3 linked regions of the Callithrix jacchus genome follow. The protein of the gene in region 3 purifies or fractionates together with the protein of the main gene of each other region. This does not show direct contact. Links are inferred from orthologs where the notes say so. Each region holds a gene or a part of one and is shown on either strand. Other genes may lie near its edges.

Region 1 (4,113 bases), on a different chromosome or scaffold from region 3:
GTTTATCAGCTATACCTTGTTGTCTATGTGCATATGACACCACTTCTATTGTTATTTTGACTGCATATCATAAGCAAAAGTGTTTTGTTTTAAAATTAGTACATGGTTTATTTCTAAACAAAATTTGATTTTATCATTACAGTGTAGCACCAAAAAGAGGAAATGAAATGTTTATGTTTATCAAAAAGGACTCTCAATTCAAAAACCTTGAGAAACTCTGATAAAAGGCAATGTATCCTTGTATCTTCCCTCTGCAGCACATTCTGGCTATCACTCTAACAGTCTCATAAGACTTTGAGGCCCCAGTGTACCATTTGAAAGACACCATAAGGGAACTCCCAATTTGCCCAGTATTTTCTGCTACTTTACAGGGAGGTTTTCATGGAGAACTAAGGGTCATAAAAACTGCATTTATGCAAGATTCACTTTGGGCAAAAAGTTAAATGCTTGAGAATTTCTCATCTGCCTAAGTTAATTCCTTATGTGGTTCTGGCCTACACAGGCAAAAGGCTAAAGTTGTCCTTCTGTCTTATATATTGTACTGAAGGCAATCTTTTGCAGAAGGTAAGATACACAATACTATTCCTGTTTTATAAATATGGAAAGTGAGACCCAGAGAATTTGAGTGACTTTCCCAGAGTCCACACCCTAACCCATCGATGTCCATTCAGTTTCTTACAGTAAAGAACAGAATTTGCCTTGACAGTGTGTTGATTCAAAAATATTTGCTGAGTGCCTATTATGTGTTTCTGTGTTCCTGGTGATGGAGACAATGTCTCTACCCTCATGGAGATTATATTTTTGCAGGAGCGTCCAGCAATAAGTAGGTAAGTAAGCAAGTTATCAGATAGTTTAAAGCTCTTTGAAGAAAAGTAGAGATGGAGCGAGTGTATCAGGGACAGGGAGAGAGCAGTTGTTCTAGGTAGTGGTCAAGCAAGTCCTCTCTGAGGGAGGAGACAGTTGAACAAACATGTGAACAATAAGTGCAGAAATCCTAAGTGGGGGCATTTTTTAGGAGCTTGAGAAATGGCCAGGAGCCCAGTGAGGCTGAAGCCTTAGGTGTATCTTGACTCTCACTATACCCTGTTGTCCCTCCTCTGCCCAGACTTGTTTTGTACTTTCTTTTTCACCTTTGGGTTAAGGAGCATGTTATCTCCTTTGTCAGCTTCCCTAAAGCAGTACCTTTCACCTGCCCACTGCACCTTCTTTCAATGAGAAAAGAGCCTAAGAATCCCAGCTGGTTTTCTTTGCCCTTCCCTAGGTTCCACATGGAAACAATAATGATATAAGCAAAACATAAAGATTCAAGCCCAAGACAATCAATAGCTTCCACGTATTTCCCTTGAAGCCTTTATGAAAAATGTATTTAGAGCATGATAGGAGAGCTGCAACAAACAAGGCTTGACCATTTTTAATAACCAATATACAGTGAAAATCCTCTAACACCAGCATCGGGATCATCTTTCTTCACTGACCCATAAGGTATTTCAAACTCTTGTAGTGTATCATCAGATGCTGAACTTACTACCAAGCATTTAACCTCATTTGGTTTCTGTCTAGAACCTACTATGCAGGGTTGTTGTTTTCATGGATTTTTTTATTCCGCTGACAATAATGCTTGAGCTAGCTAGGTACTTCCTTAGAAATGCCCCCATGATTCCTAAAAGAAATCAACTGAAAAGAGGAGATATAATAATAATAATATATCTTTAGTATTATTCAATGGATAAGAAAACTGGGGGACTGAAAGGTTAATTTGCCCAGGTCACAAGACTAACATCTGACTAGCGCAGGACTACATCTCAGATCTGCCTGACTCTGGAGCACTGGAGCAACGACACAGGTGAATTTGATTCAAAATGAAGCCTTAGACTGAGACATGCCTAGGCAAAGGGCAAAGCTGAATCATAACAAGGGTGTTTTCCCTCCATTCCCTTTAAGACTACTGTGAGTCCTAATGTTTATCAAGAAGGATCCTATTTCTGAAATCCCCTGCCCCACCCCTCACAGACACTACCTTTCTAAAGAATGCTACATCAGCAGATCCAGAGAGATGATTTTACTTTCACACATCCCCCTCCTCTCTCAGCATCTTGACCTAACTGGCATTGCATTCTTAAAGTAATTGACTGTTTCTTAATCTGCCTCCTCTCTCTGAATGTCATGCTCTTTCTTTGGGATGACACTTCAAAAGTCATTTAAAGAGAGCTAGAGTACGGAGCCACCCGATAGGAGTTAAAATGGAAGTTGGGAGCCTGGGTCTTTCTTGGAGCAAAGGTAAACTTTAGACCATATTTCACCACCCTAAAGGGCATTCTCTGCAGCTGCCCCAAAAGCCCCTGGTGAGGGCCTTCTGGAGAGCAGGAGGCCCAGGGAATGAAATCCCCAGCGAGGGACTCAGGCGAAAGTGTGTTCCCTCACGGCCCTGGACTAGACTTGAGGGTGGGTCATGAAGAAGGCCTCAGCAAGCTGCTAACGCCAGCACCCTTGCCCGCCTCAGCCTCTGCCCTGGCCTCAGCTGCCAGTGCCCACCATCCACATGCTCAGCAGGCCCCTGCCTGCCACAGAATACTCACAGCACACACAGGCAGTACACGCCTGGCACGCTCTCGCTGTCCCTCAGCAAATAGCTGCCATCCAGCCCAGTGGCGAGCAGGAGCTTCTCGCCGGTCTCCCTGCTGATTTTCCCGTGATACACAGCCACTGCATCCATGGCCTGGTGGACTCTCGGGCAGGCCGAGGAGGAGGATTGTACAAGGGAGATGCCGCTGCTACTGCAGCCAGGCACAGATCAACCACCTGACTCCCAGTTCAGCCAGATGTGCAAAAAAGAGAGAGGCACCCAAACAACAGGATGTTGTCTACTTGCCTTAAACCTCCTTCTCACACTTCAATTAAAACCAGCTCAGCAATTTAGTAGCTTGGTTTAATCGAGCTTGCCAAGGGCTTCCATCTCCTGCCCCCCAACACAGGGTTCTTACAGAGGGGAGGAAAATTAGAAGAAGGATTTTGCAAGATTTGAGCTGTACTGCCAACACACACCCTTGCACGCAGATAGGGATGCTTAGTAATGCTTCTGTTCTTGCAGATTACTCAGAGGCCACAAGGAATAACTTAGCTCAACCAGCCGGTAAGGAGTTGATGATAGAGGCAAGTTATACATGTCTCTGTCGGTATGTGGACCCATCATGTAGGGCAGAAACATACTGACAGAATGAAAGGACCAAAAGCTCTGAGAACAAAACACTAATAGTTTTATTAGTACTGTCATTATGCAATCATTACTGAACACGGCCATGAAGACTCCTACAGAATCAGACATAGCAGATGAACAGTGAACTTTGGGCAAGTTCTTTTTCTCCTTCTTCCTTCTACCTCATGCAGTCATCTTGAGAAGTCTTGGTCCTGACCAATATTGATTTCTTTCCTAACACCTTGTCCAAGGTCCCAAAGTGCTAGTTGAGATACAAAAGTCACAATGCACATCCAAAGATGTTCCAGATTTAAGTATTTGATGGGCTTTAGATGAGACAATGTAACATTTAACTGGTGATTTGTCTTAATGCAAATTTGTATGTGCCCTTTGGTGTATAAGGCCCACCTTTCAGCATTTTGTCCAAAAAATCTGTTTTAAATCATTTGCAAGCGTTGATAATTTTGTTGTAACTTTTATTGTCTGTTGTTTCTAAACAATGTTATTTCTTCGATTGATGCTAAACTGTCTTTAATATTTTAAAACCTTTCAACCTCCATTTTCTTCTCTGAAATAAAGCATTGCTTCTATTTCAAAATGTGCTAGGTAATATTTCCCCAAAACTTCTTGCATTTTCACTAGAGTAAGAATTTATTGCTGAAGCTGAATGGTCTTATACATGTACCTTTAGATTATGCAAAGTACTTGTAAAATTGGAATTAAAATAACTGAAGCTATGTGATCTATTATATGCTTTCTGCAACTTCAGCGTGTAGTTCTTTGAGAATATGGCAATGCTGGGAGCTCAATAGGGAGAGCAATACTTAATTCCTCACATGTCTTACCAATGGATTGCAGGTACAGAGCTGACTTGCACCAAAGGCAGATATTTGCTCTTCATCGACTAGGGTTAGGAAAAA
Region 2 (4,246 bases), about 19 Mb from region 3:
AAAGAATGAAAGAAAGAAAGAAAGAACAAAAGAAAGAAAAAAAAAGGAAGGAAGGAAGGAAGGGAGGGAGGGAGGGAGGGAGGGAGGGAGGGAGGGAGGGAGGGAGGGAGGGAGGGAAGGAGGGAGAATCCCAATATTGACCGTATACCCTGAGATCCTGGCCAGTCTGTCCTTGCACCTTCTTTTTTCCCTTTTCGCTGCTTGCACCATCACAGCTAGCTCTTCACCATCTCCCATCCAGAGGCACAACAGTTTCTATTGCCATCATTTTCCAGCTTCACTGTGTTCTTCATGTCAGATTTAAGTTTCTAAATTCACTAGTCTTGTCACTTCTCCGCTCAAAAACCATCCATGTTTCCCCATTAGCTTTAGAACCACTCTTTTAAAACTACCTGATCTTATCCCATCCTCCTTCTCCAAAAGCTGGTTTCCAAATGACATTTTAGGAACCCTGTATGTACATACTTTAAAGTATCCAACTTCTAGACCACTGTTCCTACCTCCTCCCCTTCCTAAAGCACCTTCCATCCCATTTCTATGTAACCAGATCTTACCCACTCTTTATTTATTTGCTTATTTATTTTATTTTGAGACGGAAAGTCTCTCTGTCTCCCAGGCTGGATAGCAGTGGTGCCATCTCAGCTCACTGCATCCTCTGCCTCCCAGGTTCAAGCGATTCTCGTGCCTCAGCCTCCTGAGTAGCTGTGATACAGATACCCCCACCATGCCCAGCTAATCTTTGTATTTTTAGTAGAGATGAAGGTTTTATTATGTTGGCCAGGCTGGTCTTGAGCTCCTGACCTCAGTGATCTGCCCACCTCAGCCTCCCAAAGTGCTAGGATTATAGGCGTTAGCCACCGCTCCTAGCCAACATATATTTTTCTTTAAATGGTACTGTGGATGTAGGTATAAGAGAGATAGCCTGTCTCTCCAGTATCATTTACAGAAAGAAGTGTGTCCCAATGTATTCTATTAGTAAGGACAATCACTTTTGTCTGTAATCAGACTTCTGAGCCTACTCCATGGCCCATTTGTGTACTTCCTTGTAAAATCCAGTTTTAGCAAAGAACCCTACTAAGTCAGTTTGGCAAGGACACCTCGCCCTAGCTATCTGATCACTGTCAGGTTCTGATGAGATTCCTCCTCCTCCACCATCCCCCAGGCAACAACTGATCACCCTGGTCTGTCTTCAGCTACAATTCTGTTAGGCTGGCTTAGCCAGAATCCCCTTTACCCCTGATGTTTCCTCTGAGTAATTTTCTAGCCACTGATCCCACACTACTCCTTGGCCATAAATTCCCACTTGTCCGTGCTGTACTCAGAGTTGAGTCCAATCTTTCCTCTGCACTAAGAGCTCCTTGCAGTGGTCCCTATACCTATTGTGATGATCCTGAGTAAAGTCTTCCCAACCATGATTTAACAAATGACATAGAGTAATTTTTTTCTTTAACAAGAGACACCGGGGTTTCACTTTCTGTTACAGGTATAATAACAGGTTCAGTGGCCCCTACTTTACAAAGAGGAAAATACATCAAGATAGGAGGTTTCTAGTGATATCTGTTCAGATTTCTGTTTAGGATTGCTTTCTAAACTGGGCATAAGCAAGTTCCTTCCACTGGGTCTCTTTGATATTGTAGCCTGGAATTTCTTTTTTCTTTTTTTGAGGCAGGGTCTTACTCTGTTGCCCAGGCCAGAGTGCAGTGGTGCAATCTTGGCTCACTGCAGCCTCTGTCTCCTGGGTTCAAGAGATTCTCCTGCCTTGGCCTCTCAAGTAGCCAGTATTACAGGCACACGCCACCACACCAAGTTAATTTTTGTATTTTTGGTAGAGATGGGGTTTCACCGTGTTGGCCAGGCTAGTCTCGAACTCCTGACCTCAAGTGATCCCCCTGCCTCAGCCTCCCAAAGTGCAGGGACTACAGGCATGAGCCATGACACCCAGCCTGGAATTTCATATTTAACTTAGACTCTGGAAATTCCAAATTAGTTTTAACACAAATTATTTGAGAAACCAAGGTCTCTGTTTCTTTACCTATGAAATGGTGACTGCTTATGCTTACCTTGATAGACTACAAGAATGAAAGAAAATGACGAATATTGAAGTCCTTTACAAATCTAACAAAATGTGAAATATTATTAGGATTTATAGTTTAAGTATTGCAAGTGGATACTGCAGAATAAGTAGTCTTTCAGATTGAAATTTCTTTTAAAACCCCTAGCCTTTTCCATACCAAATAAACAGATCTCTGGAGAACAGTACCTTCTCTCCATCCCCCCGTACCCCTCTTCTTCAGCCCTTCCCTTCACCACCACCATATCCCTCCTGCTGCTGCAGAGTCTGCTTGCAGGCCTTTACACCAGGGAGAGCAAGGCAGATGGGGGAGCACGGACAGACACATGCCTCTCCTGGCACTGCTCATTATTTCTCACTTTATGCATTTTGACTGCAACATCAGAGTGAAACACTGAGGGATATGTATTCCTTTACTGTGCCTTTGCCGCATTCAATGTACGATGTCACATGTGTGCAAGATGAGGCTACTCACGAGACACAGAGGCACAGGACTCCTGGTATCGACTCGCTGTCTCTTAACAGAAAGTTGCCATCCACCCCTTCCTTGAGCAGCAAGGTTTCACAGTCTCGCTTGGTCAGAGGGCCGTGGTAGTAAGGAAGATCCATGGAGAACGCTCTTGTATCCCAGGCAGCCCTGTTGGCCTGAAATTCACCCCCAAGCCAAGGGACAGCTCTGAGGAGGGATGTGGAAGCAGTTGTGCCTCCTGTGGAAATAGCTCTGTCTCTAGTGATCTGTGAGACTCAACCAGCTTCATGAGATTCAGGAAATGAGAAGGGCGGGGTGATAAAATGACCAACACATTTTATCCTCTATGTGGCCCACATGTGACTCACAGAAAGGGGTAAAGCACATTTAAATACACAGTGGAATCAGTGAAGCTCATCGCTAGGGAGACAACGCTGAAGTCAAGCTCTCTGGAACTGCGTTGCAGCCTGTATATTACCATGTACTATCATCACCTTCTCTGGCTACTGGCATCCTGTGCAGGAAGCACAGCATCGCTTTTGCAGTAATGGTACCCATTCTCTGCTGAAGTTGCATAGGATTGGGCTATGCTTAGCGTAGACTGGGTGCTCAAAAAGCATTGGGATGCTGAGAGAATTGATATGCTCAGATACAGTGGGAAAATTGAAACGGTGGCATTTCCATGGATCAAATGACACCAAAAATGGAAGATATTAATGGGAATAGAAAACAGTGGGACACTGTGGATGAGGACAGCCCATTCCATGACTAAGGCTCCTAGCAACTGGCAAAAAAAAGCGCCATTTTTAACACCCTCAAGCATTGTACCTTTTGGAGAAAGGGCTGGTGCAGGTGGGAGGGTTAACTGGTATACTCAAATATCCACAGGAAATCACTATATATCTCAAAAATGAATCCATGAAAATGAAACTAAAATAGAAAAGATGAGTTCGTGACGTATCTTTATTTCACTTCTTCTTTTTCTTTTTCTTCATCTCTGTAGATACCTGGAATCTTAACTTCTTCTTAACCCAGATGTGTATTTCACATTGCTACTTTGCTTACCAGCTGTTTACTCACACTTGGGGTGTATCTTTCAGGAAACTTCCTTGTAACGGTCTTTGTTCTTCCTTGGAATTCCCACTCTTTGCTGTTTGGCATAGCGTAGTTTCACGGATCAAGGAACTTGTTATCAGAGAGAGCTGCTCTCAAATACCAACTTTTCTTCTGTGGTTTTGGACAATTCATTATTATATTTCCCTGGGAACTATGGCAGTTGAAGACAGAGTTATTAATGATGAAAGAAGAAATTCGGTAATTATTGGGAATACATTCACAATCATCGTGTGAAGATGTTTTTGACATAAAAGAGAAAATAACTGAAAGTATGCTCAGGCTCTTGGTTATCACAGGGGCTTGCTGGACCTTTTTCCTGTTTCAAAATTCAATCCTCAGAGTAAAAGAAATATAAATTAAATCCATGCTGAGAGAACATCTCTCACCTATCATATTGGTGAAAAAAATCAAAAATGTGAAAACTTACTGGATTGGTGATGGTGAAAGAAAATAGAACATCTTGTATCTTGGTTAGGATACAAAATAGTTACAACTATAGTAAAAGAGAGTTTGACAATGCCTTGCACATTTGTGTATGCCTTCACGATCTAATAGAACAATCTCAGTCTAGAAATCTATCACAAAACTAC
Region 3 (4,245 bases):
ATGACCTTTGAGACTCTGTGAATCAATGCTTTCGTCTGTATATGCACATATTAATAGTACGTATCTATAGTGTGTAGTAAAGATTAAACAAAATAATAACTGTAGACTACTTAGAGTAATGCCAAATATGCAGTGATTGCTCCATAAATGGTTATTTATTAGTTTTATTGATGGGAGATAAGATAGAAAATTGAAGAAACAGAAATAAGAACGGGGCAGAGAAAAGGAAGAATTAAGAGTATGAGACAGAATATGCAGAGGGGATGGGCAAGGATTAAAACCTGTGAACTGCTCCATCTCCTACCCCCAGAGTGGGAGTGTCTCCTAGGATATGTGGAGAGACAGTCAGAGTCATGATGTTTCCAAAGTCATGATTAGAAAGTTCAGATCAGAGCATAAGACTGTGAATTTTGACTCAGAAAACTTTTCCAACGTGGAACAGTCATGAGTCTGCACACTCAGACTTTCCTTATGTCGGCGATTTCTGGGGGAAAATGGGGATTTCTCCCTGCATCTCTCCACTGCTTCTCAGCCTCTTCAACTGCTCTGAATTCCAGGAAAATGCATCAAATGTAGACTCCTAAGCCTAATACTGAATATAAAGGGCTACCTCTAACAGGAGCAGCAGCAGGAGGAATTCAGGGTATATTTTTGTGCTGAGAAAAGGTTTGCAGAATAATCCTTAACAGGCAAACAGATAATTCGGTAAAAGTGGGCAGTGTGTAAAAAGTATTCCTGGCTTTACTTTTATTAAAAAACAAAACAAAAACAAAAACAAACAAAGAAAACTCCCATTCCGTCTTTCATGGATCCTCGATTAAATGGATATCTCTTTCCTAGTCTCCTTTTCCAGAATCCCAACAACCAACACCTAAGCTCCAACTCCCACCACCTTTTCTCCTGTTGATGTTCCTTGGACCATTCCCAGACAGAGGAGTCCTGCCTAGGATCTCCGTGCAGTAAAGCCATGGCTCTTCCTAAGAATGCATGAAAAGTGAGTGTGAAAAACAGCAGCACTAGCTAGTATCTGTTAAACGATATATTCAGCTACTATACCAAGTGTTGTTCATGCATTATCATCATTTTGATTCGCAAAACAATTCTATTACATTAATACCTTCCCCATTTTGACGCTGAAACAAAAGTCAAAGGAGAAATACAACTTCCTCAGGGTCACAAAACTCATAAACAAAAGAATTCACTACTAGTTGATTTGACAATTTATTTCAGTTTCAGTAGATGAAAGAAGTATATCCAAGAGCTACCTTTTATCTTAGCAGGTATTAACCTTTTGCATCAAGAATTTGAAAACGATGAGTGAGGAGGTCAAGTGGAGCAGAAAGAATAACCAGTGAGATTGGGATTAACTTTAAGATTAGAAAAACCGATGTCTATTTCCACCTCTACCAATTTAGGTATTGAAATTTCAGGTGAGCCAGGCGCGGTGGCTCAAGCCTGTAATCCCAGCACTTTGGGAGGCCAAGGCAGGTGGATCACGAGGTCAAGAGATCGAGACCATCCTGGTCAACATGGTGAAACCCCGTCTCTACTAAAAATACAAAAAATTAGCTGGGCATGGTAGCGCATGCCTGTAATCCCAGCTACTCAGGAGGCTGAGGCAGGAGAATTGCCTGAACCCAGGAGGCGGAGGTTGTGGTGAGCCGAGATCACGCCATTGCACTCCAGCCTGGGTAACAAGAGTGAGACTCCGTCTCAAAAAAAAAAAAAAAAAGAAATTTCAGGTGAATTTTTTAACCTCTAAATCTTACTTTATTTTTCTTGCATAATGTAATTAATAATATCTATCTATCTTTCCCATCTCAATGGTTTTCATATGGATAACATAAGAATGTAGGCATAAATATTGTAAAATGTTTTGAAAATTAAGTGGTATCAAATGCCACCTTGTCTAGTCTCTCTCTGGAAGATTAAGGACATTCCCAGTACCAACTTTTCCTCACCTAGTTGCATTTTCTGTTTGCCATTCTCGAGCAGCCAGTAGAGGCTCCAAAAATTTGATCTGATCTTTTAATGTTACACAGTTTTCTTTGTACCAATAACAATCAATATTCATGTTGTTCTTTTAGTTTACCGTTATGCCATAAGTAAGAGAAATAGGGTTTTTGATTCAAGTTTTCCAACTTTTTGAGACTATTTGTGTAAAATGGGATAGTAATCTCTTCCTCATTTATTTTAGAGTTTCTGAAGGATAAAAGCAGTGTAATGTCTCTAACTGTGTTTTGAAAATAAAGGGAGTTTATAGAGAGGAGGCCTACACAAGGATAACAATGAGTCAAGCATCACTCTAACCTGATGGATCAATCAACTATAATTAGGAAAGACATTTTCTGCCTCAAAAACCACCACAGTTGAATGCCAAGAAGAAATGGCTTTTAAGTCATTCAAGCTTTTAGATGATCTTTCCTTTGCTAGGCTTTATGGGTGGGTTTACCAAGTTCTGGCTCCTCTGAGAAGGATTTGCCTCAGACCTTTGGAAACTGAGATCTCCAAAACCAGACAAAATTCAGAAATATAGACTTTAAAGCTGAAAACCACTTAGGTTTGGATTTTAAGTCTCTCCCCAGCCAGTTGGATCCTGCTGAGTACAGTAAATACTGAGACTCAGCAGTTCTGTTAAAAACATCAAAAGAACAGTTCAGTCTTTCTTAAGGGAAAGTTTTAAAACTTTATGGAAAACTAGGAGGGGATCAGCAAGGGTCAGAACTCACAGGTTTGCAGGCAAAGGAGCAAGATCCATACGTGGTGTTGAGCCATCTCTCTTGGGGTCTAATCTTCTGTGGAAAAGCACGGCACTGTTCTAGCAGAGTCAGTTTCACTCGAATTTTTGTCCTCCTTTTTATAGCTAAGTTGAAGAAAGGAAGTGCAACTAACTTCCTTTAGTTAACATTGGTGTTGTATTACTGTGCTAGTTTTTTCTAATTTAAAGGGCCTAACATTAATTATTTCTTCAACAAATATCTATTGTGTGCCTACTATGTGCCAGACACTCTTCTGGGTGCTGGCAATATACAGAGCAACAAAGCAATTGATCGCCCTCTTTTCATGGATTTTTTTACTCCTTTTTGGAGTAATCAACAACTAAACAAGCAATTTCAATATAACGCAGTAAGTGTTGTAAGAGGGAAAATACAGGGAACTCTGAGAACAGTAGGGGCGTCTATCTCAGGCTAAGAAAAGTTGGAGTAGACTTTCTGAAGAAATTGACAACCAAGCTGAGGCAAGCCTGAAGAATGAATTACTATTATTAGGCAAATGGTGGCGGGGGATGTGAAAGAGAAAAAAATATATGATTATGTATTATAATATCTAATCATATTATTTTTAACACAATAAATTATATATTAATTATATCATAATTATATACCATTTAATATTTAATATAATCAATTATATATTAATTATATATTATTAATTATATTAAGTCAAAGGTCAAAGGGAAGGTGGAAGAGACATAATACTGAGTTATATTAAGTATTATGTTAATAATATATAATTATATTTATACACAATATAATAATATATAATTATGTAGTATATTAATACATAACATAGTATAACTATATGCATATAATTATGTATGATTCCATGATATCATCATGAAACATGATTATGATCACACCTTATTAGGGACACAAAAAGCATTTGATAAAAATTAAAGCTGAAAGGGATTTTTAGACTATCAAATCTATTCTGCAGAAGGAGAAACTGGCTCAGAAGGAGAGGAAGTGATTTTTCTCTATTTCACTCAGTGAATTAGTAAACTGAGGTAAAAGGCAGCAAGTGTCACTTGGAAAAGACCATGACTCCTGGGCATGAGAGACAGCAGGTGCAGAGGCATGCTTAGGTGGAGTTGAGCTAGATTTAACAGGACCTTTTCTTGTGGAGGGTCCTCATCCTGGTTAGTGGGAATAAGAGTGATTGTGTAATGTGTGTATGGGAGAGGTTGTCTGGGAATGGTGATGTAAATGGATATTTGGACCCAGAAGCTAAGCAATGTGACCCAGCTGTTTTGGGGAGTGCTGGGAAGGCTGGGGACCCTACCCCTGAGACCTGGAGGATGTGTAAAGCTTTTCCAACTGAGAGGAGTCCTCATGTCAGATAGCTTATTCCTAGGAAACCTGGGCCTCTAGAATCACTCATTAAACAATCCTGCTGATCATTTCCCATATATAATTACATAATACTGAATATAGTTGACCCTTGAACAATGTAGGGGTTTAGGGT

What was found.
Region 1: the proteins of CD84 (region 3) and SH2D1A purify together in Homo sapiens (affinity purification with western blotting; 4 studies listed by BioGRID and IntAct, with this or other methods). This does not show direct contact. The link is inferred for Callithrix jacchus from reciprocal best matches to the Homo sapiens genes CD84 and SH2D1A.
Region 2: the proteins of CD84 (region 3) and SH2D1B purify together in Homo sapiens (affinity purification with western blotting; 3 studies listed by BioGRID and IntAct, with this or other methods). This does not show direct contact. The link is inferred for Callithrix jacchus from reciprocal best matches to the Homo sapiens genes CD84 and SH2D1B.

What each region holds. Positions count from the first base shown.
Region 1 is NC_133524.1:120,100,291-120,104,403, reverse strand, and holds the start of SH2D1A (SH2 domain-containing protein 1A), read right to left. Parts: upstream 2,802-4,113; 5' UTR 2,714-2,801; coding exon 2,577-2,713; intron 1-2,576.
Region 2 is NC_133519.1:39,150,786-39,155,031, reverse strand, and holds the start of SH2D1B (SH2 domain-containing protein 1B), read right to left. Parts: upstream 2,801-4,246; 5' UTR 2,681-2,800; coding exon 2,547-2,680; intron 1-2,546. UniProt on the Homo sapiens protein: Cytoplasmic adapter regulating receptors of the signaling lymphocytic activation molecule (SLAM) family such as CD84, SLAMF1, LY9 and CD244. In SLAM signaling seems to cooperate with SH2D1A/SAP.
Region 3 is NC_133519.1:20,498,636-20,502,880, forward strand, and holds the start of CD84 (SLAM family member 5), read right to left. Parts: upstream 2,830-4,245; 5' UTR 2,776-2,829; coding exon 2,730-2,775; intron 1-2,729. UniProt on the Homo sapiens protein: Self-ligand receptor of the signaling lymphocytic activation molecule (SLAM) family.